3 linked regions of the Rhinolophus ferrumequinum genome follow. The protein of the gene in region 1 interacts with the protein of each later gene in a pairwise test. Links are inferred from orthologs where the notes say so. Each region holds a gene or a part of one and is shown on either strand. Other genes may lie near its edges. The genes, in order: RAB6A, BICD2 and PMM1.

Evidence for each region.
Region 2: the proteins of RAB6A (region 1) and BICD2 interact in binary tests that used the Homo sapiens proteins (3 or more experiments, as listed by UniProt). The link is inferred for Rhinolophus ferrumequinum from reciprocal best matches to the Homo sapiens genes RAB6A and BICD2.
Region 3: the proteins of RAB6A (region 1) and PMM1 interact in binary tests that used the Homo sapiens proteins (3 or more experiments, as listed by UniProt). The two-hybrid records come from large-scale screens. The link is inferred for Rhinolophus ferrumequinum from reciprocal best matches to the Homo sapiens genes RAB6A and PMM1.

What each region holds. Positions count from the first base shown.
Region 1 is NC_046294.1:48,922,118-48,932,354, forward strand, and holds the start of RAB6A (ras-related protein Rab-6A), read right to left. Parts: upstream 4,372-10,237; 5' UTR 3,859-4,371; coding exon 3,789-3,858; intron 1-3,788. UniProt on the Homo sapiens protein: The small GTPases Rab are key regulators of intracellular membrane trafficking, from the formation of transport vesicles to their fusion with membranes.
Region 2 is NC_046295.1:741,259-751,515, forward strand, and holds the start of BICD2 (protein bicaudal D homolog 2), read right to left. Parts: upstream 4,154-10,257; 5' UTR 3,920-4,153; coding exon 3,680-3,919; intron 1-3,679. UniProt on the Homo sapiens protein: Acts as an adapter protein linking the dynein motor complex to various cargos and converts dynein from a non-processive to a highly processive motor in the presence of dynactin.
Region 3 is NC_046293.1:6,430,418-6,440,279, forward strand, and holds the start of PMM1 (phosphomannomutase 1), read left to right. Parts: upstream 1-5,375; 5' UTR 5,376-5,488; coding exon 5,489-5,575; intron 5,576-7,854; coding exon 7,855-7,972; intron 7,973-9,085; coding exon 9,086-9,162; intron 9,163-9,265; coding exon 9,266-9,357; intron 9,358-9,575; coding exon 9,576-9,675; intron 9,676-9,862. UniProt on the Homo sapiens protein: Involved in the synthesis of the GDP-mannose and dolichol-phosphate-mannose required for a number of critical mannosyl transfer reactions. In addition, may be responsible for the degradation of glucose-1,6-bisphosphate in ischemic brain.

The sequences.
Region 1 (10,237 bases):
AAATAGTAGTACTAGGCCAGGTATGTGTTTCTCTCTTAGATTACATTTTCTAATTTGTAACCAAGCTGTAACATTTGTTTGTAGTAATATCTTCTACTGTAAACTATAATGACATTCCTAAAAGTGACTTTGCATTTCAAAACAATAACAACAGGTAGTAAAAAAAGAGATTCCTCAAAGAAACTTCAGATTTAAGTTGTGTATTTCAACATTCCTTTATTAAACCATGTACACTACTGAAATATAAAGAAACCATAAGAGTTTATAAGATTATCAGTACTGATGTAATTAACTCAAGGAGGCTTCATGTACTGAAACAACTCATCTTCATTACAGAGCACAGAACCTTAAATTTTTGATAAGACAATCTACCTAACTTCAAATCAGTTCTATGACCATGTCTCTAAATATCATTTGACATACGTTGAGGTACTATTCTAATAGCAAATAATTTAACAATAGTTTGAACAATGCAAAACAAATTTTGCTCAACTCAGAAAAAAAACTGTAAAATCCTGATCGGTCTTTTTTTTGTTTTAAGTGAGGGCTATAAATTATTAGGTTCTCTCTCCCACCTGCCCAGTAACTGCAATATCTCTGCATACAATCCAATAATGTAAGTATAAAATGTTAGTGTTAAACTCTTAATTGCATAAGGAAAAAATGTAGACTTCATTATAACAAAAATTAATATAGGCTACCTACTACCTTTGATTACTATTAGATTCAACCATCACTCATTCACTAAATATTTCTGAGTACATACTATAATCCTGGCACTATGAGAGACACTGGGGAAACAATGAACAACAACAAAAAATAACAGTTTTTAATCTTCATGGGACTTGCATTCTGTTTGTGGGAAACTGACAAAAACAAATACATAAAAAATAAGAATTATAAATGTGGTAAATGCTATTAAGGAAACAAACAAGGCTTTGCCACAGATTAGTCTTTGAAAGCCGAATTGTGTAATTCTAAAACCTAAAAATAAATAATTCATGAAGAGTTACATCAAGATTACATGGATTCTACAGACCTTTGCTAATGCACAAGAAAATTAGACACTGCCCATGAAAACAGAGATCGATCTTTCATTGTCAAAGATATTGGATGGCATTACTTAGCAATATAGTAGCCTCAAAAGATAATTAACCTCACAGGTCCACAGAGTTAAAAAGCATGTGAACGATCCTAAAAAATTCTAAGAGGAGCCTAATGAGACATGACAATTAAATGTAACGTGGTACCCTAAAATGAATGCTTAAACAGAAAAAACTAAGGAAATCTGAAAATAATATTGAATGTCAACTCTAATTGAAAAATTTAAAAGGGGGGTAAAGATCAATAATATTGTGATAGTGCAGTACAGTGTCAGATGGTTGCTGAACTTATGGTGATCACTTTTTTTGCACAGGGAATAAAATCAATAATGCGGTAATAACACTGGTTAGAGCTAGGTGGGTACTGTTGAATAACTATGATGTACACCTCAAACTAATATAATAGTGTATGTTAGCTGTATTTTAATAAAAAATCTTTAAAATAAATAAAAGAAAAAACCTAAGAAAATCTGAATAAACTACGGACTTCATTAATAATAATGTATCAATATTGGTTAATTGTAACAAATGTAGCACACTAATGTAAGATGTTAATAATAGGGAAAACTGGGTGGGGCTATATGGGAACCCTCTGCATGATCTCAATTATTCTATAAATCTAAAACTATTCTAAAACAACAAAGTCTATTTAAAAAAAAATCTAAGATGGCTTCAGGAATTGGGGAGGAAAAGAGTTATTAAAGACTTTTAAAAAGTAAGAAATGAAAAGCCATAACACTCTGCAATGTGAATTAGAACATAAATACTCAAGAAATTCAAAGGAAACCTGGAGATACTGGTTATAATCTCTATTCATACTAAAATCTTCTTATGAGAGATATTAATGGATTTTTCATGCAAACTAAACAGCTCTGTATCATAACAGAAGGCAGGCAATAACATCCCTAGAGTACACAATAAGCACTTTAGATCCTATTTATCAATAATGACCAATAAGCTATTATTTTATGTATGGCACTATCCTGAAATTACCATAAAACACCTGGACCAGGATCAACCTCATAGGTTAATCAAGTTACTTAAAGAAACAAGCTTATACCTACTTCAGGAAAATTCAAAAGCAAAGAGAAGACATCATTTTTCCTTGGTAAGGGGGAAGGGGAAAGATTATGTATGAAAGGAGAAAAATGATTTCTCAGGTCCAACTGGAAGCAATTTTGCAACTAGTATTAACCTACTTTAATGACATACAAAATAGTATAAATAGTTCAAGGTAGTAATAAAAGCTCTGAATTTATATCAGTTATCTTCTTTCCAACCAAAAGATAACAAATGTTTTCTATAGTCTAACCTAAGACACCAAGTGGGTAACAATGTTTGATGACTTGTGAGAAACTAATCTCTCAATGTGTGAATTTTAAAGATGGTCATGATAAGTGTGAGAAAAACAAAGAATGATAATCTCTAAATTGCCAAGTGTCAAGTTTGCATAATACAGCATAAAAATGAAATTACAAGAAGTAATTTTAGAGACAGCCATCACAAAACTAGGATCTTGTATGGAATACAAACTATAACAACAGCAGAAGCCTGACCAAGTAAATGAGAATTTCACTCATCAGATACTATGGAATATTAAACATAAAGGAGTCCTTTAGCAGAAGGGGTATATTACATATTTCGATCTAATTTTCAAAACTAGATGATGAATCTATTCTTCTTACTCTACTCCAATACTCCCAAAGGAAATCCACTAAACAAAGATATTTGTTATTCTCAAGCATTCTTTCACAGAAATCCTACATCTATAACTGGAAAATACTCAAGGATAAAAGGAATACTTAACATTTTCCCAGTAATTCCTGTATGCACCACCATGAGGAGAATCAGATACTGTTTCATGTTGAAAAAGGAGAGGTGAGATGTGAAAAATTCCAAGTAAAACGATCATGACATAGCATCTGGCAGAGACCAGAAAAGCATCAACACTGCCAAAAGAATTGTCAAGGATGAAAGTCAAGGGAAGAAAATGAGGTTTTCCAAAAAGCCACAGCCTAACCCAAGGGGTAAAAATTGCCACTGCCATCGCCAACCCTCTCACCCCTCAACCACTCCATCCTCAAGTCGCCTCCAATTCAGATATATGTCTTCTATAACCCAGACTAATTCCCCATCCAAGTGAAAACCATCCAGGAATTTTCTACGACACCCCCCCCCTTCCATGAGATCCGCACTTCTCAGGGCCAAGCCTCTGGGGAAAACAACGCCCAGATCCTACCCTCCATGCCCAAGGTTGAAGAGGGCCGGTTCCCAGGAGTGGGGCTTCCCGGGGTGGGCCTCACAGAGCTGACGAACTGGAATAAGAGCAAGGAATAAGGGTGGGGCTCAAGAAAGGGGGCTGGGGTGGGTGAGACCCGAGGAAGAAAGGGATGGACAGGAGGCTGGGCGGGGTGGGAAATAGGGAGGCAGATCGACGGAAGAGGGTCGGGCTGCGGGGAAAGGAGACGCCGGAGTCGGGCACGAAAGGGTCAAAATCCGACCGACGGATCAAGGCGAAAAGGAACCGGTGGCTAAGAGGGGTCGGCGAACCCCGGGAAGGGCTGGGGGTGGAACGAAGCGCTAAGGCGAGGCCGGCAGGGAGCCTCCACGGACTGAAGGGCCGCACTGGGGGCGGTGCGGGGAAGCTGCGGCCAGCCGCCAGGAGTGGGGTAGCCACGCACTCACCGCTCTGCTCCCCCAGGAACACCAGCTTGAATTTCCTCAGCGGATTCCCGAAGTCTCCGCCCGCGGACATGATGGAACCGGAGGAGCTGCCGCCGCTTCAGCCCAGAGACCTACCGGACCGACGCTACTCCAATCGGTTGATGAAAAGGGTGAAAGGAAGGGCGGGCGCCGAGCTCTCTCGGCCCCAGCAGGGCCGACGGCGGAGCAAGGCTAGGGGGCAGGACTGCTCTCCACAGATAGGCAGCCGTCGCCACCGCCTCCCCGCGGAGTCGCCTGGCACCGACCGAGGCCCGCGGCTGGGAAGGGAAGGAGATTGGTGTCAGAAGCAGTCAGGGGTGTGCTCAGGGTTCCCAAGGCTAGTGCTGTTCTGTTCTCAGCACCAGGCACGGAGAGTGAGGTGAGAGGCAGAGGGTGGCGGGGCCGGAGCCGCAGACGTCTGGAACCTCTGACACGCAGCGCCTCAGCTCCCACAGCTGCCGCCGCCGCAGGCCAACCTGCTGAGTGCGCGAGCCTCTGGCGCGGCGCTGGGCGAGCCTGGGCGCGAGCCTGCCGCCCCGCCGCCCGCCGGCGTGCGTGCGTGGGAGCGTGCGCGTGCGCGCCACAGCCAGCACTTTCCTGGTTTAGCCTGCTCTCCCGGCTCCTCCCGCGCCGCGGAGACGTCGGCAGGTTTGGTTTCGACTCGCGTCAGGGGAAGCAAGGAGGCGGGACGGAACTTGGGGAAGTGAGGAGGTGGAATAAGGAGGGGGTGGAATACGTTACGTATGGGATGAGCCAATCGCGAGAGACCAAAGGCGGGCAGGGACCGGAGTGAGGTGGCGGCGCGAGAGCGCGCGCGGCTGCCGCGCGGTGGAAAGCGTTGTACGGTGGCGGCCATGCGGAGTGTGGCGCGTCGCAGCCTGCGGGGAGGGGAAGAGGGGAGGGACGGAGGCGGGGCCGGAAGGTGATACATTGAACCCAGCATTGTACAGGTGGGGTTAGAGAGTCGTTAGACGTGTACTAGGCTCCTTTATCCTGAGCCCTCAGCCCTGTCTCACATTCCTCAGATCCGCCCTTCACCCGTGCACCTACCCACCTTCATCTTCTTAATCTTCTCACGGTATCTTACTAGGTACATGCTCTGCTGTTGCTCCCAGGAGTTTCATAACTACAGTAAGAAGCAGGGCCTCCATATTTTTGCAGATGAGGAAACAGGCTCAAAGGAAGGAAATAACTTAGAAAACCCACAAAAACATAAAGTGGAAGCCAGGTTTTGGTTTTTCCCCCCATTGAACCTTTGCAATCTCCTTATTGATAAGCCCATCACTTCCCTGGCTTGACCTGACTTGGTCTTCTGTGCCAGCCTTTGTTCCTCAGATAGTGATAACTCTAGGTGCCACCTTCTGTGCTAGAAAAGGATTTAGACGTAAAACAAACCCGTCATTTCACCGATGGTGAAACTAAAGCCCACGTAGGAAAACAGCTTTGCAAAAAGGTCACACAACAAATTAGAGGTAGAGCCTGTTCTTGAGACCAAATGTGAGGAAGGGGATATTTTAAAGATCATCCGTTCCTCCTAAAATAGGGCTTCTGAATCTACCGTTGGTGGACCTCTCTTAAATGAAATATCTGAAACGTGCATTTTCCTGTGGAGAGAATCATAGCATTCAGCAGATTTTCAACATAGCTCATGCCCCAAAAAATGCAGGCTAGTGTCACAGTCAAGAGAAGCCTAAGGAGATATGACAACTAAGTATAATGTGGATATAATTAACATGACAACTGAACATAAGTTTAAACTGAATGAGATTCTGGAACAGAAAAAAACATTAGGCAAAAACGAAGAAAATCTGAATAAAGATGGACGTTGGTTAATTATGATGTATCAATATTGGTTCTTTAATTGTAAGAAATACACTAATGTAAGATATTACATGAGAGGGAACAGTGGGGGAGAGGTATATGGGGACTTTCTGTACTGTCTGCTCAATTTTTCTGTAAATACAAAGTTTTAAAAAACACCTATTAATAAAAGATGAATAAATAAAAGGTTAAGAATCACTGAATTAGAGAAATTGGCATCTACACTTCACCGTACTTCAGCCATACTTGACTAGGCTATTGGATAGCATCCAAAAAAGTAATCTCTGCGCTTGAAGAGAACACTTTTAAAAACTGGTATCAAAAATACTTCCCAAGTTAATAATGAAACAATAAGTCCTTACATTTGTATATAGTATCTTACTAGTCACAAAACACATTTACATACATTTTCTCATTATTTGGAGGTTATTATTTACTTAGCTATAGAAATGGCAGTATCAAACAAGTAAGTGTCTTCTCAAACTAGGCATGAATTGCTGAATTAGAATAAATTAAGGGGAGGAACAGAGATTCGTAAAATATCCATTCTAGCCTATCAAGACAACAGTTATATCCCCAAGCCTCCGTCTCCATCAAAATTTACTAACTTCTGATTCCTCTCAGCTAAGTGGCAGAAAGATTTTGGAACATGCATCTAAAATGAAATGGTAAAAACCTGAGTTGTAATATGGACATTTGATTTTTTTTTAAAAAAAATTCATTTTAAAAATAGCTTGTCAGGTCTTGGGAGGCTTTTGCTACCAGTAACTCAGAACCCTGGCACACACAGAGAACACCCAATACCAAGAGATTATTTAAAAAGAAAACCTCTTTCAAACAAGAGTTGCTATTTTTTCTTTCTGATGGGTACCAGATTTTCATTATGTTTCCTGAAATAGCCTTTAAAGTAACATCTGAGGATTGGAACTATAATTACTTTGTACCTCCTCGGGAACTTTATGAATCAATTTCTCCATGCTGCTCTGGTCCCTATGGTCACCTAGAAAGGTGATGTTATTTCTATTATTTTGAAGAGAGGTGTGGTGTAATCTACCTCTTACCTCAGATGTTCGAATATTTTAACCTAGCATTTTGCACTGACACATATACAGCCTCATTCTTCTCTGAAGCTGCGTTCATATTTATCTGTGTAAATAATGTTTTGCCTTCAGAGCAAAACATATGGTCTAAAAGTTGCATATTAAGTGCTACACGTTCATCAAATGAAGAAATTACTTGGGAGAAGGAAATTAAAGAGGCTTTTTCCAAGGGCACTTTCGCCAACACTTTCACCTCCATAATTTTCTACACACTATTCTCTTTACCTTGAACACTTTTCCCTTCCTTCTTCCCTCCCCCCAATTCCTACTCATCCTTCAGATATCATCTCTAACAAGTCTTCAAGAAGCTTTCTCTGTCTGCTCCCACCTCCATTAACAGTATGAAGTACCCCTGCCTGTCCTCCCATTGTACCCTAGTCTTCCCCATCACTTCATTGTTATTAAGTGTCAGTCTTCCCCACCTGACTAAGCTCTGTGAGGTCCTGTATTTTCAACACTTGTAGAGTGCTTGCTACATAGTAAGCATGCAACAGATATTTGCTGAATAAATGAGAGAGATTATTTTAGCTTTCTTCAAAGGTTCAATGGAATTCGGGCACGTGGAGATGGAACGGCAAGAGTGTTTTGGAGAAAGAGAGCATCACTCAAAATCAGAGAGGACAACTTTTGACAACTCCAAATCGAAAGTACCTAGAGCAGTCTTCTTTGATAAATTTAAAAGGGATCGTTCATTTGAAGCCCATGGATGTGTCCAGGAAGCTACCACACAGAAATTGTAATATAACTGCAGCTTGTCTTTCTGCCTCTAGAGACACAAAGCTTCTTGAAGGAGGACTGAGATTTCATTGTATTCCTGTGGCAGACACTACTGTTTGTCCAACAATACACACACACTTCCACATTATATATTGGTAATGACAGATACTTTTCCAGGTTCCCTTCAGCTAAGTTATAGGCACGTAATTTGATCTGAGCCAGTGGCAGATGAAGAAATATCCCAGAGACTTAGAAGATAAATTATCTTCCCTGATGAAAAGAGATAGATGAGGAAAAAGTGCCATTTTTCAGCCATTGGATGTGGTTATATAAGGACAAGATATCTAGAACTAAGACATCTTGTGAACATTAATATATAATCCTGAAGACAAAAGCCAACCCATTGATGATGCTAAGCGGAAAACTTAAAGTCATCATTGAGCCGCTGTACCTCCCCTGGAACTGGCCTTCCTCTGGCTTCTTTTTAGCAAAAAAATAAATGTCTTTATATTTAGTAATGTTTTCACATATGTCTTTGTTATTGTTACTTGCAGCTGAAAGCATCTGATGTTCTCATCTTTTGATCCCTTTAAACACCTCGCACAGTTCCTTGAACATTAGGCACTCAATACTATGTGTGTGTATGGGTGTGTGTGTGTGTGTATTATATATATTAATATATGTTACACATATAACAATGTATATGATATACATAATACAGTAATAGCTACCAAACTGGAACTGCTTTTTTCTATTTACTGCTCCCTAAAAAGGATTTATTATTCTTGGAGAGGCAGGAAATCAATAGAAGGAGAAAAACTGTCCAGGGATTGAAAAGGATTGAAATCATATTGCTCATATTTGAAACAAATAATATCTCTGGCAGGAATTCAAATTGTATCAAATGTGAAGCCCTTCTACCCACTCTGCAGGTTATTATAATCATTGATACTAAAAATAATAGTGAGTCAATATACAAAGCATAAAAATAACAGATGCTCAATAATTCCAGGTGACCAATTAAAGGAGCACAACTAACACAAGGTATAAGGTTTAAACAAGTTTTAAGCAAGGTTTAAGCACGTCTCATTTTAAAAGGACTATAAGGGAAAAAAAGAGAGGGGAGGCCTCATGGCAAAACCTGTTTTCCAAATACCTTGACCTACAAGGACATGTTATGGGGGAAGTGTAAAATTTATTCAGCCAAGGAGGAGAAGGAGAAGGCAGTAGAACTTCAATGAAATGGTCCTTCCTGTGATTATAGACAATTTATAAGTTAAGTCAGAAGATATTTTTGCTACAGATTGATCTACAGACTCTATTTTTGATAATTCCATTTTGTTCCGTTCATGTGAATCATGGTCCTTTTTATGAATAATGTGATTTCTCAGTGCCTTAGATGTGGGGTGTTACTTTCAGGCTTTGAAATTGCAGTGGGGGAAGAGTTTGCTTCTTTTTATACTAATCCAGAATGTGTAATCCCTGACACATTGCTGGAGCTCTCCTCTCCTCGTACTCTATCCTCCACAAATAATAAAGTCTCCTGTAAGATATACAGAAGACTGAATCACTCTACCTGCTACTAAGAGATAATCACTCTCAGAGTAGAAGAGAACAACTGCTTCTATTGCTCTACATGCAAAGAACAGAGCATTTTAGGATAGAAGCATGAGACCAATGCTGTTTGCACTGAAATGCCAATGGACTGCACAACTAAATTGTAACTTGCCTAACATGCCACAAGAAACCCCCTTTTTGTGAACATTTCTTCACATTTTTGAACAGCACAAACTAACTAGGACTTTATACAAAAATCAAAGGGTATCAAAATCACTACAATAATTAATAGCTGGAATTATCCAGTGAGATAATAAACCACAGCATTATTCAGAAAAACAAACTTCCAGTTTTGGAATGGTAGATTAAAGATGTTTCTTCCCTCTTCCTTTTCTGAAATTGTTCCAGAACAAGAACAAAAAGTAAAAATGGAAACTCTGTCTTTGACAGCTCTAACCCAGAACTATATTTTAAATTGGGAGACAAAAGATAGAGAGCATTGGCAACTGACTAAACAGAGCATAGAAAGTGCTTACCGAAGGAGAAAGTAACAAGAAGCAAGCCAATCAGCCAGGCAGGCAGGAACTCCACAAAAGCTCAGGAATATGAAGCAGCAAATACCACAGAAGGTCGGGGTAAGGAAAGAGATCAAAAACAAGAGAATTGTATCTATATGAAGAGTAGTTACAAACCTATCCCTCTCTATGGAGGAACTGAACACAAGAAGCTCTAGGCTCAAATAATGAGACATACTAGAGGACTAGGGTGAGGTGCTGCCAGAAGATAGGGGGATTAGTAACCAACAGAGAAATAGGGTACTTGAACAACATTGTATACTAGCTAGAACTAACAGATATCTATAGAATGCCCCATCCAGTAAAAGCAAACTATATAATAACTCAAGTGCACACGGAATATTCTCTAGGATAGACCATATCTTAGGCCATAAAAAAAAAAGGCACAATACATTTAAAAGGACTGAAACCACACAAAGTATGTTCTCTAACCACAATGGAATGAAATTAGACATCAATAACAGAAGGAAATTTGGGAAATCCACACATATGTGGAAATTAAACAACACACTTTTAAATAAACAATAGGTCAAAGAAGCACAGGGGAAATTAGAAAATACTTTGAGACAAATGAAAAAGAAAACACAACATACCAAAACTCATGGAATACAGCAAAAGCAGTACTTAGAAGGAAAATTAAAGCTTTAAATTCCTATGTTAA
Region 2 (10,257 bases), on another chromosome or scaffold:
GGTGCTGAGGACCCCTTCCCTCGCTGTCTGAGCTGCTGGGCTTTCCTCAGTCACTCCCACCCACCCCTACTTCCATCTCTCCATCCTCTGGGAGAGATTATAAGAGGGGTGGGATGGAGGATGCTTCCACCCGCTCTGCCCCGGCCTTTCATGTGGTTGCTGAGCCTGCAGGACAAGAAGGACGCCAAGGGTTGGGAGCTGGGTTCAGGCAAGTCCAGAGGCAGGGGCGGTCCTCCTGGCTTCCATGCATCCCATGGTTAAGAGCAGCGCAGGCTGAGCCAAGCTGGAGGCCCCAGACAGCAGACCTGGGGCCCTCTGGGAGACGCAATAGGGCCGTTCCCGACCTGACGAGGAGCAGAGGCCAGGTGGCTGAGGGGATCCAAGCCTGAGAGAGTGGAGAGGAGCTAAGGACACCAGCCAGCAGTCACTTACAAAGTAAGCACTTCCTGTGTGCCAAGCTGTGCCAGGCTCTGTGCCCCGCCCTTCACACACCGCTGCTCACTGAACTTGCTGCTTCACCAAGATATGCCCACCGCGGACAAGATTCAGAGGCGGCACAGAGGCAGGAGGGCATCCAGACCTGCCTTCCCACTCTCTCCGGAGCCGAGACGCATCGGCCCGCGCCTGGCCTGAGGCGTGTCCTCCGGCCCTCACGTCCCCACCCATGAGGACCACCCACTTAACCCACTTACAGCACCTACCTAAGCCCACCAGACTGGAGCTGCCACCCCAGCACACCTGCCCCCTTAAAGCTGCAGAGGACACAGCGTGAGATGTCCCACAGCCACTCAGGACGGTAAACACTGCGTGGATGACCAAAGTCCATCCAATTCTCTTCCCCACCATGGCAGGGAAGGGGCTCAGTGGGACTTGGGACTTACTAATCCAGGCTCAATCACTAGGAAAATGATTAGGCAAAATGGGCCAACAGGTCCCCCGCCCCACGGTGTCAGCAGGACACAGACAAGGAGACGCGCACCCTCGTCACGTGCAGAAGGCTGCGGGGCCGGCACTGCGGGCGCTCCCTTCTGGGCAGGGCCCACTGACCTCGGCCGGCCAGTCAGCTTCCCTCCTTCAGACACAGGATGACCTGCAAGTGCGGGGCCCAAGTCCAGGCAACTCCACTGGCAGCGTAATTTGTTAGTAACTGAATCCACTTTAGTTCAAGAAATAAAGTTTTAAGAGAATGAAGATGGTTCACCTCTCTACAGGACAAAAAAAAAAAAAAAAAGGACCTAACAAATATTGTCTATTTAAATCTTGGTTTTTAAAATACAAGTTAATATTTTCAGGTATGACACTGGCCAAAACTAAAGAGGTTGACAGAGCTTGTGCTGGCATGGGTGTGAGTGAACTGGTGCAAGCTTTCTACCGTGTTTCCCCGAAAATAAGACCTAGCCGGACCATCAGCTCTAATGCATCTCTTGGAGCAAAAATTAATATAAGAACTGGTCTTATTTTAATATAAGACCAGGTGTCATATAACATAATATAGTATAGTATAATATACTATAATACAATGTAATGTAACATAATAAGAGACCAGGTCTTAGATTAATTTTGCTCCGAAAGACGCATTAAAGCTGCTAGTCCGGCTAGGTCTTATTTTCGGGGAAACACAGTAGTAACATCACTGAGACTGATGCACCTTCCTCTGGCTTCTGCCACAACGGGGGGAAACTGAAGTTCAGGACACAGGGCCACGTGCCCAAGGCCAAATACCAGTGTGTGCAAGAGCCAGGAGGTGACAACAAACTAAGCAAGCAGGTGCCTGAAGAACACCTGCAGAGACTGACACACCTGCCTCTCAATTCCTCCGGGACCCGCCGTCTAGACACACCCCAGTAAGCAGAGCCAAGATTCTTGCATTGGCCAAAATGTTTGTGTCCAATAGAAACGAGCTGACAACCGAAAGGTCCCTTAGTGAGAACTACTTCCCTCTGGGACAGTAGGTCTGGTCTGTTCTTAGAGCGGACACGAACGTGAGCTTGTGAACACAGAAGGGGGCTATGAGTGCTGTGGGGAGGTAGGATTGGGGGGGTCTCCCCAGGGAGACCAGAATGGGGCTGAAGGTGCTCCCACTCCATACTCTCACAGTCTCCTGGCCTCCCTCCATCATGGTGCAGCGCCCCCCGCCCCCCCACACACCAAGATGGGGCCCTTGCAGGAGGAGCCACATATCACCTCTCTTGTCTAGATCCAGTACCAGCCAAGCGGGCTCAGAGGAGGCCCCAATACCTGCTGACAGGTGACAGGACCGAGGATCAGATGCGCCGCCACCTGCCTCCCCCAACCCGCACATGCTCTTCACTGCTGCTTCCCCTGCACACCTGCTCGGCCAGGCATGGATTTAAGCGTTAGCGTGGATTCATTCATTCTCTCCTCCCCACTTCAAAAGACGAGTCTACTGGTGTCCCCAGTGGGGCAGGGAGGCTCTGAACAGTCTGGACACCTGCCTGAGGCCTCTGGGAGCGTTGGTGCCAGGAGATGGGCAGTGGGGAAAACACCTAGCACGGTGCATCCCAGAACCAAGGGCCAAGAGGCCACCAGGACGAGGAAGAGTCAGCGGGGCAAGGGGCACACTGTCAGGCAGCGCACCTGACACCGTGCCCCTCCTTTTCAAGTATATGCCCCTCAAAACAACCCTTTTGGGTGGGCAATGCTGCAGAGGGAGAAGTTAAGGCCCCTGTCCACAGCCACGTCACCAGCAAGGGGGTAGAGCCTGAGTCCAAACCTGGGTGTCCCACTAGAAGGAAACGTCTCCCTCTCCGCCCCCCACAACAGGGCTAGAGAAGTCAGCAAGGACTGGGAGAAAAGCGGTGTTTAAACCATTAAGGAGAACTACTTCTTGGAAGGACTGTCCAGCTGTCCTGCTGCTAGGCTCTCAGGCAGCCTGATGGTCCCACCCCTTATCCCGGAGTGAAAACTGCACAGGAGACACAAGGCTCCCTCTGTGACAAATGCCCACAGACCTGTCACCAGTCTGCAGGGAAGGGTCTGGGAGGGCGGCCAGGACAGGAAGTGGGCGGGAAAAGCACTGCATCCCAGATAAGTGACTGGGAGTGGGGGTGGGTATGGTCAGAGAGCTGTGCCTGGGACAACAGGGGACCCCCAACCTGCAGCAATAACGGCCACATGCAAGGCACGCCCCTTTCCCAGCCCTTTTCTGGCCTCGGGGAACGCACTGGAACTACTGAAGACTGCTGCGCCCAGAGAGAAGTGATCTGCCTGGAGATGATGCAGGACCAGGCCTGGCTTTTCCCTGCATCCATCTCACGCCCCCATCCCCCTCACCCGGGAAGCCAAACGCCGCAAAGAACTCCACCCCACCGTGCTCGAGGCCTGCCACCAGGAGCAGGCAGACCGGCGACAGGACCCCACCGCAGACCTGGCCGGAGAAGGCCCGGGTTCTCTTGCACGCGCGCCGCCACCACACCTGGGGACCGCGTCTCCCTCCCTGGGGCGGAACCGAAGGGGGCGCAGCGACTCCAGGCCAGCTGTGCACGCCGACCCTGGACTCCCTGGGGCTGCTCGGCTAGGTGGTCGGCTCAGCCCAGCGTCGGGGGTCCGTTCGAGGGTCGGCCAGGCCCGGGTGAGGGGTCGGATCAGGGGTCAGGGCCGGGCGCGGCGCGAGCCGGGGACGCCAGAGGGCGTGGCGGCGGCCGCCCACGCTCCTCACCTCCTTGAGCTGCTCCATCTCGCTACGGATGGCTTCGTAGTCCACCTCCAGCTCTTCGAACTGCAGCTTGAGTTGGTGCTTCTCCTCGAGCACCGCCAGACCATATTCGGCCGCCTGGATCTTCTCGCGCGTGGTCTCGGCCAGCTCGTGCGACAGTCGCTTCACCTCGGCGCGCAACCACTCGGGCTGCGCCTCCATCACCAGCCGCGCGTACTCCTCCTCCTCGGACGGTGCCGACATGGTGGCCGTAGCCCGGCTCGCGTCGCTTCCACCGGGGTTCAGGCCGGAATCCCATCCGCTTAGCCACCGCCCAGCCCGACGGCGCCTGGGCCGCCGCGCAGCCGCAATGCGCTCCCCGCCGCGCGGGGCACTATGGGTGCGGTAGTCCCGCCCGCGGGACTACAAGGCCCGTTGTGCCACGGGCCCGCCCGCCCCAAACGGTGATTGGCCGGGTCCCACGCCGGTCGACCGTACCAATGCCATCGCCTCGGCCGCCACCGCCCAGAGCGTTGTGGTTGCCGTAGTCCCGCCCGTGCGCCAACTACAAGTCTCGTCATGCCCTGCGCCCGCCCACCCCCGATCATGATAGGCCGTTGCGGAGCCGGAAGCACTGGTATTTTCCGGGTCCCCATCCCTGGGCCGGTGAGGCGGAAAACCCGCGGTGGACGCACGTGTACCGGGAGTGCCGAGAGCCGGCCTCGCGTCCGTACCGGCCCACCTGGGGCGCCCCAGCTTCTGGGGGACTGTAACGCAGCACATGTTGAGTGGGAGAAATGGTCAAGCTCGCTGTTTGAAGTTTCTAGTAAAACGGACGACCAGACAGGCATTTTGAGGGAAATGCAGCGTTCAAAAGCACGCTGATTGAGACCTGCTAGCTCAAGGGGCGCCTTCGCCCCCCACTTAGTTTCGAAATGCTCCGACGTGTTTCCTAAGAATTCGACCTTTCCATGTGCAATCCAGTGATCCGATTCAGGACGGCCGACTCTGACGCCGCCCTCAGTAGCCACGGTTCCAGTTCTTGGACCGAGCCCTGGATCACGCCTCGTAAGGACGTTGTCTCCTTCTTCTCCATCTGGGAGACTTTCTCCCTCTGTCTTTTTGACCTTGACTTACGGAGGCTGCTGGACAGAGATGTGCACACCGGTGTATGTGTCCCCATGGTTAGATTGGGGTGTGCGCTTTGGCAGGAATATCCCGAGGCGGTGCAGAGTCTCAGCACGCAATTGCATCACTCAGGTCGCCACTGGGTTTTGCTTTTTACCCTGTGAGAAGGGTGACTCAGGATGGCCAGACTCAGAACCCCCAAACCCACCCTCCATGCCTTCATGTGGGACTGGCCTGAGGAGGGAGAGGGGAAAGGCTATGGGAATATGGGGCAGGTATTGACCATGGAGCTTTGAACTTGGGGACAGGGTGGTGGAAGGGGAACAGGCAGGGACTTTTCTAGGTGCTGACAGAGGACCTAGCACTGCCACTGTGGGCTTCCTGCAGGAGGGACAGCTGGTCTGGCCATCAAGGTTAGAGCCATGAGGGAGGAGCCATGATGTGTGACAGTGTTGGGGGACAGGGCATCAGGGAAGGATGCCCTGAGAAGGTGACACCCAAAGGATGCAGTCAGGCTGCCACAGTAAGGCTAAGAGAAGCAGGGTCACCCTTGTTGAGTTCCGACTGGGCCCCAACATGGATAGGAACCTGAGCTATATCATCTTGCTGAGTCCTCACGACACCCCAGGACATAGGAGTCACGCTATTTTCTTTGACAAATAAAGAAACAGCAGAATCCTCAGTACCACGCTCCAACTCCTCCACCCCTCATCTGCTTTCTCAATATGACAGCAAAGGATGGACCCGCCTCAGCCTCCTGCCGTCCCGACTGCCCCTTCCAAGGCCTGAGCCCCTTGCCTCCTGCCTTGACTACTGCAGCCACCTTCCCTCCGTCCTTCCCCAGGCCCCCAACCTTTTCTCTCACGGCAGCAGAGTGTCCTTAGACTCCAGGCAGGTCACAACCCGTCTCCTCAAATCCCTTTGAGTACATTCAGGCTGCTATAAAAATAAGACTGGGAGGATTTTAAACAGCAGACACTTGTTTCTCATGGTTCCAGAGGCCGGAAGCCCGAGATCACGGTGCCACAAGATGCAGTGTGGTGAGAACCCACCTCTTCCTGTGTCCTCACGTGCCAGGAGAGGTGCGGGAGCTCCCGGGGGTGTCGTTAGAAGGACACAAATCTCATCACGAGGACTCCACCCTCATGACCTCATCACCTCCCAAAGGCCCCACTTCTTACCAGCATCACCATGGGGCTCAGGATTTAATGAATGAATTGGGGGGGCAAGGCTAGTTATGGCCACTGCCCCCTAGGCCCTGCCCAGTCTCAGGAGTGGCCCTCCCACCTTTGTCCCCACCCCCCCTGGGCTGTGCTCCCCTTCCTGGCTTCATCTCTCTCGATTTCCTCCTGTTTTCTATGGCTTATTCACCTTTGCACCTTTGTCCACTCGGGAAAGTCAGCTCCAGGAGGGCAGGGGCCTCAATCCGGCCCAGCGCACACCAGGGGCTCCAGCCAGGCGCCGTAGAGATTCGACTTAGCTGGTGGACACTGGACTGTCATCAGTATCCCCCACTCCCTGGACCCCCACCCCTCACCAAGAGGAAAGCAGAGGAGAACAGAGGCAGCCGTGGCACGGGGCAATGTCTGGGACTGCCTGCAGTGTTCCCCCGAGAACACCTGGGTGACAGCCTGGGGGCAAAGGAAGTGATGTCCTCCCAGAAATCTGCTCTGCCTTTGTAAGCAGACTCCTGCCCTGGGTGAGAGCAGGATGCTCCTGTGCACAGGTGTCCAGGCTGGGGGCTGGCCTGGGTGTGGGCAGTTGGCAGCCTTGCAGCTCCTTCCTTGCTGTTCCCTCGAGAGCTCTGAGTGCCCGTGTGAGCCCTTCCTCCTGGAATCCTGTCTCCTCTCTGCCCATGGCTGTCCAGTTGTGGGCTGAGTGGCAAAGCCTTTCCTGTTAGGTGTCCTTGGCCAGTTGCCAGCACAGTGAATGGCATGGTGTCCCCCACATACTCATTCTGCATGCCATAGGATGAATCTTTGGCCCAAATGTCATTCACTCAATAAACTCTGTGCCAGGCCCTGGGGGTTCAGACACAATGATGATGGAGGTGAAGACCCCAATGTACTTTCTGAGCATTTACCCTGTTCCAAGCTGATCAAGCACTTTGCATGCAGGTGCCATCTCTCGTAAGCCTCACAAGTTACAAGGCAGGTATCACTGTTCTCACTATATAGGTGAGGAAACTGAGGCACAAAGAGATCACACACCTTATATGGGAGAAACCCAGAATCTGAACCCAGGTGTTTGTGAATCCAGAAACTGGCACCCAGCCTTCCCTGGGGGAACAGACTTCACCAGCTAACTCAACCGATGTACCTGGGGCACTCAGGAGCTCTAAAGGGGCAGTACTGGCTCTGGAGGACTCAACACGTCACAGAGTGGGTGGCAGTGGCAGTGACGGGGTTCTAAAGGAGGCTCTAGTGTCTGCCGGCACAGAAGGTGAAGAAGAGTATCCCAGAGAGGCAGAGGTGTAATCATGGACAAGCGTGGCCTGCAGGAGGGTGGGGGACGTGGTGAATTCAGGACATGATGGAGTGCGTGTGTGTCCATGTGTATATACATGCATGTGTGCGTGTGCATATGTGCATCGGGAGGTGACAAAGGGGAGCTAGTGGCATCAGACTGTAAAACTCTGCCCTAGCCAAATACTTGCATCATCAGTTTCACCCTGGTGTTGACCAGATCCACTTGGGGTGACACCTTTCAGTTTTCTGGAAGCAGGAAGGACCGCTGAAGAAAAGTTTGTGGTGAAAGGTGGTTATTAGGGATCTGGGCCTGAGAAGGAGAGAGGAAGCCGCTAGATAGGGCAGCGGAAGAAGCTGAACTTCGCTGTGCACTTGACCAAGACTCACCAGCCCTGTTCAGAGTTCACACCTGCCATGCGGGGGCTGCAGTCAGCTTGCTGGGGCAGGTTCCGGAGCAGTGATTGTTACAGCTTAGCACAATTTCAAGATGCATCCATGTTATAGCATGTATCAGAACTTCATTCCATTTTATGGCTGAATAATATTCCATTGTATGAGTAGACCACATTCTGTGTATCTATGCATCTGCTGATGGACACGGGTTGTTTGCAACCTTTGGTTGTTACGAATAATGTTGCTATACACGTTGATGTACAAATGTCTGTTTGAGTCCCTGCTTTCAATTCTTTTCAGTAGATATCTAGAAGAGAATAGTTGGATCAAATTGTAACTATGTTTAACCTGTTGAGGAACTGCCATACTTTATTTTCCATTTAAAAAAATAATAGCCATCCAGATGGGTGTGAAGTGGTATATGACTGTGACTGTAATTTTATCTCCCTAATGACTACCGATGTTGATCACCTTTTCATGTGCTTACTGGACATTTGTATATCTTCTTTAGAGAAATGTTTCTTTAAGTCCTTGACTATTTTTGAATTGAGATATTTTTGTTGTTGATTTGTAGGAGTTCTTTATATATGAGGTCACACAATTAAGTTCACAAACTCATTCTACAAAAAGTACTACATATGAGTACCTCATTGCTGAATATCACTACGGTCACCTTCGAAGTACTCCCCCTGGGAAGCTATGCACCGACGCCAGTGCCTAGTCCACCCTTCAAAGCAATTTTGGAACTCTTTTTCTGGAATGGCCATCAGAGCTGTCATCGTATTACACTTGATGTCCTGAATATTATCAAAATGTCTTCCTTTTAATATTTCCTTTATATTCAGGTAAAGAAAGAAGTCACTGGGGGCCAGGTCAGGTGAGTAGGGAGGATGTTCCAATACAGTTATTTGTTTACTGACTAAAAACTCCCTCACAGACAGTGCTGTGTGAGCTGGTGCATTGTCGTGATGCAAGAGCCATGAATTGTTGGCAAAAAGTTCATGTCGTCTAACTTTTTCACACAGCCTTTTCAGCACTTCCAAATGGTAAACTTGGCTAACTGTTTGTCCAGTTGGTACAAATTCATGATGAATAACCCCTCTGATATCAAAAAAGTTTAGCAACATCATTGCAACAAGTTCGCAAATTTAATTGTCAGACCTCGTATTCTAGATATTAATTCCTTATCAGATATATGATTTACAAATATCTTCTCCCATTCTGTAGACTCCCTTTTCACTTTTCGGAAGTGTCTTTTGAAGGAAAAAGTTTTTAACTTTGATAAAGTCCAATTTGTCTATTTTTGTGTTTGTTGACTATGCTTTTGGTGGCATATCCAAGAAATCATTGCCAAATCCAATGTCATGAAGATTCCCCACTAGGTTTTCTTCTAAGAGTTATATTTTTTTAGCTCTTACATTTAGGTCTTTGAACCATTTTCAGCTAATTTTTGTATACAGAGGAAGTGTCCAACTTCGTTCTTTTGTATATATTGTATATCCCGTTTTCCAGTGCCATTTGTTTAAGAGACTATCAATTCACCATTGAATATTCTTGGCACCCTTGTCAGAAATCAATCAACCTTATATGTGAAGGTTTATTTCTGGGCTCTGTATTCTATTCCATTGGTCTATATGTCTATGTTTATGCCAGCACCACACTTTTGCTTACAGTAGCTTTGTAGTAAGTTTTGAAATAGGAAAGTGTGAGTCCTCCAATTTTGTTCTTCTATTTCAAGATTGCTTTGGCTATTCAGGGTCCCTTGAGATTCCATATGAGTTTTAGGATGAATTTTCTATTTCTGTAAAAACTGCTGTTGGAATTTTGAATCTGTAGACTGCTCTGAGTAGTATTGTCATCATAACAACACTGTCTTCCAGTCTATGAACACAAAATATCCTTTCATGTATATGAGGTCTGACAATTAAGTTCGTGAACTTGTTGCAACCATGTTGCTAACTTTTTTGATATCAGAGGGATTATTCATTATGAATTTGTACCAACTGGACAGTTAACCAAGTTTCCTATTTGGAAGTGCTGAAAAGGCTGCCTGTAAAAGTTAGACGACCTGAACTTTTCACCAACAATTCATGGCTCTTGCATCACGACAATGCACAAGCTCACACAGCACTGTCTGGGAGGGAGTTTTTAGCCAGTAAACAAATAACTGTATTGGAACACCCTCCCTACTCACCTGATCTGGCCCCCAATGACTTCTTTCTTTACCCGAAGATAAAGGAAATATTGAAAGGAAGACATTTTGATGACATTCAGGACATCAAAGGTAATACGACGAGATCTCTGATGGCCATTCCAGAAAGAGTTCCAAAATTGCTTTGAAGGGTGGACTAGGCACTGGCATTGGTGCATAGCCTCTCAAGGGTAGTACTTCAAAGGTGACTATAGCAATGAGGTATGCAGCACTTTTTCTAGGCTGAGTTCTCAAACTTAATTGTCAGTTCTCGTATGTCATCTTTAATTTCTTTTAGCAATGTTTTGCAGTTTTCAGTCTACAGGTCTTTTGCCTCCTTAGAATTTTAATTCCTAAGTATTTTTATGCTATTGTAAATCTGTTTTCTTAATTTACTTCACAGGTTGTTCATTATTAGTGTA
Region 3 (9,862 bases), on another chromosome or scaffold:
GGCAAGGTCATGCTGCAGGGGGAGATATGGACTACAGGTGGCGCTGTGGACTCACGACCCAGCCCACCGCCAAACTCGGCTCCTCCCGGGTACCCCAGGAACCATGCGAGAGGCCCCTCTCAAACTTGTCCCAGGACCCCTCCAACTGCCACTCTGCTGCAAGGGCAGGTCCCTACCACTACAAGAGGTTTCCACCTCCGGCCTCCACTTACGATTTGCTGGACCTAGATCCCCTCTCCCCACCTATCCTCAGAGCAACACCTTACCAGGAGCTAAAGGCCCAATACCAGCATTTCCTCTGCAAAGCCTTCCTGACCTCTCCCCACCCGAAGCCGCTCCCTCCCTCCTGTGGGTTCCTCTCCCACCAGCTGTGGCTCGGCCTGGTTGTGACCACCTGCGTGCTCAGCACGAGGCCTGGCATAGAACCGGCATCACAGAGTGAATCGATCCACCAGTTCAGTCCTGTAGGCCAGCGTTGGGGGGGGAGGGGTCATAAAAACCCCTGAACCTGGACTGAACCTCCGCCTCAAAGACCTTCATCAGGACCTTCCTCTCTCTGGGCCTCAGCTTCTTCATCTGTGAAATGAAAACTATGGCTCCCAGTGAGTCCTCTCCCCACCCCTGGGATGAGAGATGAGGAGTGATTTGTTCAATGTCTTACAGTTCTCAGGGCTCAGCTCTGATCCACAGAGATCACTAACCACAGGTGTCAGGAGACCGCTGTCCCTGCCCCCTACCCCCAGGTGGGGCAATGCTGAGCCACCTCTGTCCCCACTGGCTTTGGTGGAGGGAGCCCCAATGGGGCCTGTGCCAACCCAGCAACAGGCTCCGCCCCCTCCACAAACACCACCTCTGAACATACGCCCTTTAGCTTATTTAAAGTCAACAGACTTGTTTATTATGAAAATGATGTAAGCACTGTAGGCATTTTGAAAACTAGAGAAAAAACAGCCAACACTCACCGTTTCCCCAACCTCCCACTGCCCCTGAACCAAGACGGAATTAAAACCAGCAACCAGCCCTGACCTGTTTTTTTGCAGGGCCTCTTTAAGCTCATCTCCTCCCCTGCACCCTCATCTTCCTGACAGCCCAGAGAGGCTGTCAGTGTCAGTCCCATTTATAGATAAAGAACAGACTCAGGGTGGGAGGGACCTGCCCAAGGTCACCTGGCTGGAAGAGCCAGGCCCTGGAACTGTCAGTCTAATTGTACACTTACTACACCGAGGCTGCCCCTCAGGCTGGGATTGCCTGCCTTCAGAAGGTCACACTCCAGATGGAGAAAAAGAGGGCCAACACCCCCTATATTCATTCAACAACGTGCCGACACTTCGTCTTCCACCAAGGGCCGAGGGAAAAGCATGGGCTTTAGGGGAGTCCTGTGAATGTGAATCCTGACTGTGCTGTGTGACGGGGAAAGCCACGTCACCTCTCTAGTGTCAGTACCACATCTGGAAATTGAGTATAATGGTACCCATCTCACAGGATTCTGGCAAAAGTAAGTGAAGCGCCCAAGGTAGGAGCTACACTGCCCAAAGCAAACATGGAAGTCACTAACCTGCAAACATCAGCCAACTGTTTGGCCCAGAAGAGCCTAGTCTTCCTTCCTGAGCAGGATCTTGCCATGTTGGGGTCTCAGGCTCCCTGCCTTCAGGACTGGCTTCCTTGGGTGCTCTGGAAACACCCTTCTGGCCAGATCTCCCAGTCCCAGTTTCCCCTGCTCCGTGTTTTCCCCAGGGCCTCCCCAGGGCCCCATCTGAACACCAGTTGCCAGGGATGAGCCTCCCTCTTAAAGAGACATACTAGTGGCCACTAGGGCCACCACACCTAGTCCTCCTGGGTCTGTGCGTCAGGGCAATTCACTTCCTCTCTCTGGGTTTCAGTGTCTTCATCACTGAAATAGGTTGAGGTGAGAATTCAGGAAGAGACTGTGAAAGGTATTTGTAAGAAAACTGGTTCACTACAGGTCTAAGGTTAGGTGTGCTACTTTTGAGAGCTTATCTTTGTTTGTCTTTGGAGTAGTGGACCCAATCCATAGGAGACAAACACCTGTCCTGCCCTGTGAGCCCCATCCTACGGCTTCCGGATTCCAGCATCGGGGTGGGGCCCAGGCATCTGCATTTAACCACTTCCCTAGAAATTATTAAGCAATGGAACAGGTGTCAGTGGTGAGATAGTAGAGACTAATTGGGGCAGTTCCAGCTCCACCCACAGGCTCTAGACTAGGTGGGCCCTGCCAGTGGCCAGAGTCCCAGAGGCCAGATCTGGGTGGAGCAGGAGGTGCAGGGTAATGAGCTTGGTCTTCTCTCCCATGGAGATGGTTTTGTTTGCTGTCTGCATCCAACAGAAAACAAAAGCTTCTTGTTTTGTTCCCTATGGTGTTCCCAGGACCCAGAACAGTGGCACAAGACGTCTGGTTAATGAATAAACCAAACTCTGCTGCAGGGCCTGGAAAGAAAGATAGATTTTTCCTTTTGCCTCAGGCTCCAATATGACTCCTCAGTACGATTATTGATCCTGTCTTTAAAAACATTTTTTGATATTTTGTTCATCATGAATTTTTTTGCATTAATTTTGATTTTAAAAAATATTACATTTAAATGCTATTTATCTTGATGCTGCTTTAAATTTTGGTGCTGCTTTAAATTTGTGCCTGCAGCCAGTACCTCACTCACCCTGGTCTTGGCCTTGTCAGCCTGATAGGTGCTCTGTGCAGCCTTGGGCACATCCCTTTCCTTTTTCTTCATTAAGTGGAGACAATAACACCTCCTAGAGCTGCTGTGATAATGAATGAAGATGTATGGTCCAGTAGCCGGTATGGTGGCTGGCACATCGTAAGAGATCGATAAGTATCAGTTATGAATAGTTTACCTTTTATAGTCCTATCAGTTGAGGATTAGGTCCCCATTATGTAGATGAAGAAACTGAGGCTCAGTGAGGGAAGGTGATCTGTTCAAATTTTAATAATTAGCAGGGACCATATAACTGCAGTTTCCTGTACTCTGACTCCAGTGGTCTCCTTAGGGCAGCTACCAAAACAGAAAAACAGAGAGATGATCAAAAGTATGGTAGACAGGGGCCGGCCCGGTGGCTCAGGTGGTTGGAGCTCTGTGCTCCTAACTCCGAAGGCTGCCGGTTCGATTCCCACATGGGTCAGTGGGCTCTCAACCACAAGGTTGCCAGTTCAACTCGTCGAGTCCGGCAAGGGATGGTGGGCAGCGCCCCCTGCAACTAAGATTGAACACGGCACCTTGAGCTGAGCTGCCGCTGAGCTGCCGCTGAGCTCCCGGATGGCTCAGTTGGTTGGAGCGCATCCTCTCAACCTCAAGGTTGCTGGCTCCACTCCCGCAAGGGATGGTGGGCTGCCCGTCCCCTGCAATTAGCAACGGCAACTGGACATGGAGCTGAGCTGCGCCCTCCACAACTAAGACTGAAAGGACAACAACTTGAAGCTGAATGACACTCCACAACTAAGATTGAAAGAGCAACAACTTGACTTGGAAAAAAGTCCTGGAAGTACACACTGTTCCCCAATAAAGTCCTGTTCCCCTTCCCCAATAAAATCTTAAAAAAAAAAAAAAAAAGTATTGTAGACAGTGGTACCACTCGTAGGTGTGTGGATGAGTGTGTCTTTGTAGGACCAAAACTGCCAGAGTTGATCACAGGCATCAGGGTAAAGATGGTAAATGCAGCAAAAATCCCTTCCCAGGCACAGCCTTAAGCAAGGGCAACCCCTGGGAGTACAGAGGATCTGGAGCTGGGCCTTTGGCTCTGGAGTGTGGAAGGAGGCAGAAATAGAGAGCCCCGGAGAAGAGGAAGCTGCAGTCAACACACTTCCAAGGGGGGAAAAAATCTATGAAATTCACGATGACACCAACACCCAGAGACAGCCTGCTACTTCTCTTACAAAAATGGAATTGGGCCGGCCCGGTGGCTCAGGTGGTTGGAACCGGTGCTCCTAACACGGAGATTCCCAAATGGGTCAGTGAGCTGCGCCCTCTACAGCTAAGATTGTGAACAAAACAATGCCTCTCCCTGGAGCTGGGCTGCCATGAGCAGTGTGCGGCACTGTGTGCGGCAGTGGGCTACCATGTGCATACCAGAGCGGCCGGTGGCCAGCATGAGTGGCCGGCAGCCAGTGTGAGTGGCCGGCAACCATCGTGACCGGCCGGTAGCCATCGTGACTGGCAGGCAGCAGGTGAGAGCTGCTGTGAGCAGCAGACTGGCGACTGACTGTCTCAGCCTGGGAGAACGCAAGGCTCATAAACCAGCATGGGCCAGGGAGCTGTGTCCTACCCAACTAGACTGAGAAACAATGGCTTGAACTGGAGTGGGTGGGAGGCAGAAGACGGGGGAAAAAATGGAATCATGCTTTTTCCATGTTAAATATTCTACAATACAAATTTTCACGGCTTCATCTTATAGATGGATCATAGTTAATCTAACCAATCTCCATTTTTCCCCGTTTTCTTATTTTCTGAAAGTTGAATTGCTGGCTCAAAGGATCTGCACACTTTTAAGACTTGACAGGCAATAACTGTTTAATCAGTAACAGTATCAAGCACTTCTATACAAATTGGAGTGTGCCAAGTACTATGTGGGCTCTTTTACACTTTTTTCTTTTCATGTGCAAGCAACCCTGCAAAGTAGGTGGTGTCCTTACCATTTCACACATGGAGACACAAAGCTTAGAGAAGTGAAGTGACTTGTCCAAAGTCACATAGTGGTGGAGCTAGGAAGGCAGTCTAGAACTGACTCCAAAGTCAATATGATGGTGAAACAGTTATGAAGAGGGATCCAAGGGCAGGTTTCTTGAAGGAGGTGGACCGTGAACTGAGCCTTATGACGTAGACAGAATAACTGCAGGAGGAGTGAGGGAGGAGAGGGCCATCTGGCAAAGTCCAGAGCCTGAGCAAAGGCCATTAGGTGATCTCTTAAAGCTCAAGATTTGTAGGGCAAAGGCGTTAGCAGGGAGGGGCGAGTCATAGAGTGATTGATGGCAGGCGGGGGAAGATAGGACAGCCCGGGCTCCCTGAATCCCGCCCTCGCTCCACCCCGCACTGCACTGCGGGTTCGAGGTCCCGCCCCCGTCCTGCCCCTCCACCACCGGATGCAATCAGAATCATCCCGCCACGATCCAGCTCCGGCCCCGCCCTTCTCTTCCGGCTTCTATCCCTCCTTTCCCGCCTGGCCTGCCCCGCCTTCGTGTGGGTTGGACCAATCAGACCGTTCCTGCCGTGTTCTGCTCCGCTATATTCCACGCCCCTTCTCCGCCTGGTGCAATCAGAGTCATCCTTACCAGTCCGCCCAGGCCCCGTCCGAGCCCTCCCCTCCCGCCGAGGCCACGCCCTGGTCACGCCCCCTCCGCTTTTGGCTCACCCGGGCTTTCCTGCGGACCCTGCCCCTCCCAGACCCCGCCCTATCAGTGTCTTCGCGACGCGGCTCCCGGGTCACATCCTGCGAACTCCGCCGGGCTCGCGGAGCTGCAGACATGGCTGTGACCGCTGAGGGCGCCCGCAGGAAGGAGCGCGTCCTCTGCCTGTTTGACGTGGATGGGACCCTCACGCCGGCTCGCCAGGTAGGGCTTCCACGTTCGGAATCTCGGGTCGGGAATGTCACGCGGACACCCGGAGGCCTAAGATGGGGACTGCGGCGGCGTAACCCGGACCCCCGAGACTGAGTGTGGGATGCAGCAGTACCCGGCCCCTGACACCCCGGGGCCGACCGCTGGGAATGATGGGCACCCGGACGCCCACGTCACAACCCCGAAGCGTCCGTGCCCACGTTCTGCACGGAAGCATCGGAGCTGAGTCGGATTCTGGAGGGAGGAGGCTGCAAGCGGGGGCCTACCTTCCATTCCTACCCCTCCGCCAGACTTCCACACGCCAAGGCCTTGCTCAGGGACGCCCCTACCACACCAGCCGGAGCTCCCACTCCACCCAGTTCTGCCCTAGGACGCACCAGTATCCCGAAACTGGCATCTGAACCCAGGTTCCAAACTGGGAACCCCTGAGCGCACCCAAACCTCAGAGTCTTCATCTGGTGGGGGCCGGGGAATCTCGGAGCCATTCCACCGGACCTTTGCAGGCCTGGGCCTGGGTCTAGTTTCTTGAGCCCCTCACCCACTTCTACCCCTAGCGGTGGAAGGAGGGAGGGAGGGCTTACTGTACCTTTTCTGTTGAGTATGGACTCCGCCCACCTCGAGGTGAGAGTTCTCACGCCTAAACTGGTCGAATTGGGGATATTGTGGCACTGGGAGGGTGGGAGTGCAGTTCTTCTAAACTTAAGAATCTAAAGGCATCTCACAGGTGTTGATCCTCCAACCTCTGCTCCACACCCAGTTTTTCTCCTTTTGGATCTCACCCTGGATGAGCCTCCAGACCCATCCTTACTAGCTGGGTGCTTGGATAAGCAGGCCTCTTTCTTGCTGGCCCTGAGTGTACTCTACCCTCCAGTTTGAGGTTACAAGGACCAACTGAGGAATCTCCTAGAGCAGGGAACCAATAGGGCTGGGTTGCAGCGCAGAGGCTGATGGGAACACAGGTCTTAGCTTCCCCTCTTAGGTTCTGCATACCCCATCCTCTCCCCTCCGGATGGCCCTGGCTTGAGCCCTGGGCGCATTGGAAGGAATCAGGCCACCCTGCCTTCCAGCAGCTCCCAGGGTCCTCAGGGATGGAAGAAAGATGACAGTGAAGGGAGGGTGGCAGAGTCTAAGAACAGCCCCAACCCTTTCCCCCCACTCTTTGCTCCACTGACCCAACAGCCTGTACAAGAATAGTGTGTTAATGCTGTCCACCAATGTTATTGCCAGGGCCTGTCCTTAGTGCTTTCTAAAAGTTAATTTTTAATTAGACATGTAGTCATGAATGCATTCTCTTGTCAATAATGAAAACATAACAGAAAGCTCAAGTCCCCTCTGATTATGTCAGGATCCCACCCCCGCCCCTAAATAACCTGGTTGCCTGTCATGTGGCTTCCTTCAAGACCTTTATCTGGATCTGTTTGCCCAGAGGAAATATTAAGCAGTGTCTTCTGAGGCTTTTAAAAAAATAAGTGGTATCACACATCATACTGTGCGTGCCTTCCTGCGACTCACTTTTGTCAATTAGCATGTTTGGGGACTCGCCCATATTGGAGTACAGGCCTGCCTTACTCTGTGTAACCACAGGATTGTATTTCAGAGCAGGTATGTGCCATTCTCTGATTGACAAGCATTTAAGTTGTTTGCAGTTTTCCATTATTATAAACCATACCCCAATGAACCCCCATATACATATGGGCAAGAGAAGTGGAAATTCTGGGTGATGGGACACGTGCATTTTAAGTTTTAATATTAAGTTTTAATAGATCTTGCTAAATTATCTTCCAAAATGGCTGTACCAATTTTCACTCACCAGCAGCGTTTGAGAGTGCCTGCTTCCCCTACATCGTCATCCACTCTTGATATTGTCATCTTTGAATATCTGAATGTTTGAAAACATGGATTATAACTCATTCGTTTCCATTTCCTTGCTGGGGAATCTTTTCCCATGATCACTCGCTGGTTCATTGTTTATTCATTTTCATTTAATCCTAACAGTGACCCCCCCACACTCCAGCCGGTGCTACTGTGATCCCCATTTTATAGATGGGACAAAGAAGGCAAAGGCAACGCAATTTGCTCGAGGTCATCCTGCTGTGGAGGGACTTGAGCCAGAGTATGAACCCAAGTGCATCCAATTTTTTAAGATCTGGGCTCTAAACCTTGAACGGCCTCAGATCCAGGTGAATATCCTGGATCCTGAGCACCCAGTGAGGGCTGAGTGGAGATCCCAGACATGCGGACAGCCAATCCTGTGCTTCTTTGCCCCGCTGCAGAAAATTGACCCTGAGGTGGCTGCCTTCCTGCAGAAGCTGCGAAGTAGAGTGCAGATCGGCGTGGTGGGCGGCTCGGACTACTCCAAGATTGCTGAGCAGCTGGGAGAGGGGGACGAAGGTAGGAGGAGGTGGCCAGAGCCAGCTCCACAGTCGGGGTGGTAGTGGGAGGCCCTAGACCCATGGGCCTTCAAAGACCCAGTCCTGCTTCTGTGGAGCAAAGCAAGTAGAGGGAACAGCCAGATGTTTCTTTCTCTCGCTGATTCAGCAACCATTTAGTGAGCACCTATCATGTGCTGGGCACTGTGCCAGGCTTTGGAAGAGCAGGCAGAATCCTGCCCTTACATCTCAGTTCTCCCTGCTGGGTCTCGATTTCTTCATCTTTAAAATGGGCATAATCAGTACTGAAAATGACCATGTGTGAACTTCCTTTCATGTAATCCTCACAACCAAGCTTCGGGGTGGATTAAATGATTATCCCATTTAACAGAGGGAAGATTCTGAAGTCACCCAGGAAATTTTTGGACCCACAAACCCTGTCTCAGCTGAGTTCTTGATCTCAGCTCAAGGCAAAATGCCTCCAGCTCCTCAAACGAGAGACTTCCTTGAATTTCCCTTTGCCCCACCCCCTTGTTCATTCCATCAGCCAGTCCCGAAATATTTCCCTGTGTGTCCTGTCTCCATCTCCACTGCCCACCATTGTCCAGGTGGTCACCTCCCACCTGAACCCTGCAACAGCCTCCTGGTCGTGTTCCCTGTGCCTCCCCACTCCTGCCCAATCCAGCCACTTCTCATAGCATCCGGAGCTGAAAACTGCCCCATTGCAACCAGCCTTAACAACACAGTGATGGAAGTTGTAAAACAAAAGGGAAGCTGGTGTCCAGAGGGGCTGTGGGAGCACAGAGCAGAAATGACGCCCTCTGCTGAGGAGTCCCGGAAGGCTTCCAGAGGAGGGAGCTGGGGATCTTGGAGGAGTGGCGGGGGAGGAAAGAGGGCGGGCATTCCAGGCAGAGGCACCTACGTGAGCAAAGGCCCAGAAGTGTGACGAGTTTGTTTTCTTGTTTGGAAAAAACCAAAGCTGCAGGAAGTGAGGAGGCTACACAAGCAGGTTTGGGATGGAACAAATGGGCTTTGAAGGCCAAACCAAGGAGTGTGGGCATCATCTCTCTCCTTGGCTCTGGGTGCCCGGTCTCATGCTGTCTCTTTCTCCCTTGGCCTCTGTGTATCCCTGAAGTCATTGAGAAGTTTGATTACGTGTTTGCTGAGAACGGGACAGTGCAGTATAAGTATGGACGACTGCTTTCCAAGCAGGTCAGTGGCCCCCGGGGCCTTAGCCCAGGCTACTTTTCCACAGTGAGACATTCCATGGGTACCTCTGTCCATGCCCACCACATGCCCTGTGTTCCTTGCCCAGACCATCCAGAACCACCTCGGGGAGGAGCTGCTGCAGGATTTGATCAACTTCTGCCTCCGCTACATGGCCCTACTGAGACTGCCGAAGAAGCGGTGAGACCCCATCCAGCCTTGTGTCATTTCTTCCTCCCAGTGCTGGGCCTGAAGAGGAAAGGGGGGGCTGTCTCCAAGGGGATCTAGAGATGCCGGGCCCAGACTTATTGGTGGGTAGATTCCTGTTCCCTGTGAAGTCCAGACGGGCTGGATTGAATTCAGTGCCATTGTCCTTCTCTCTGGCTCCCCACCCTCCCTCCCACCCCCCTCACCCCCAGTGGGACCTTCATCGAGTTCCGGAATGGCATGCTGAACATCTCGCCCATCGGCCGGAGCTGCACCCTGGAGGAGCGAATCGAGTTTTCGGAACTGGACAAGGTGCCACCAGCTGTGCAACCTTAGGCTGTAGGACCTCAGGCACTCAACCTCTCTGAGCCTTTATTTTCTCATCAGTGAAATGGATTGGGGGGGTGGGGTTCTGATAGAACCAGTACCCTTTTGGACCTGCCATGTGCTATGGTTGTGGGCATGGGTGCACCTTTCCAACACCGCTGGTGATGGGTAC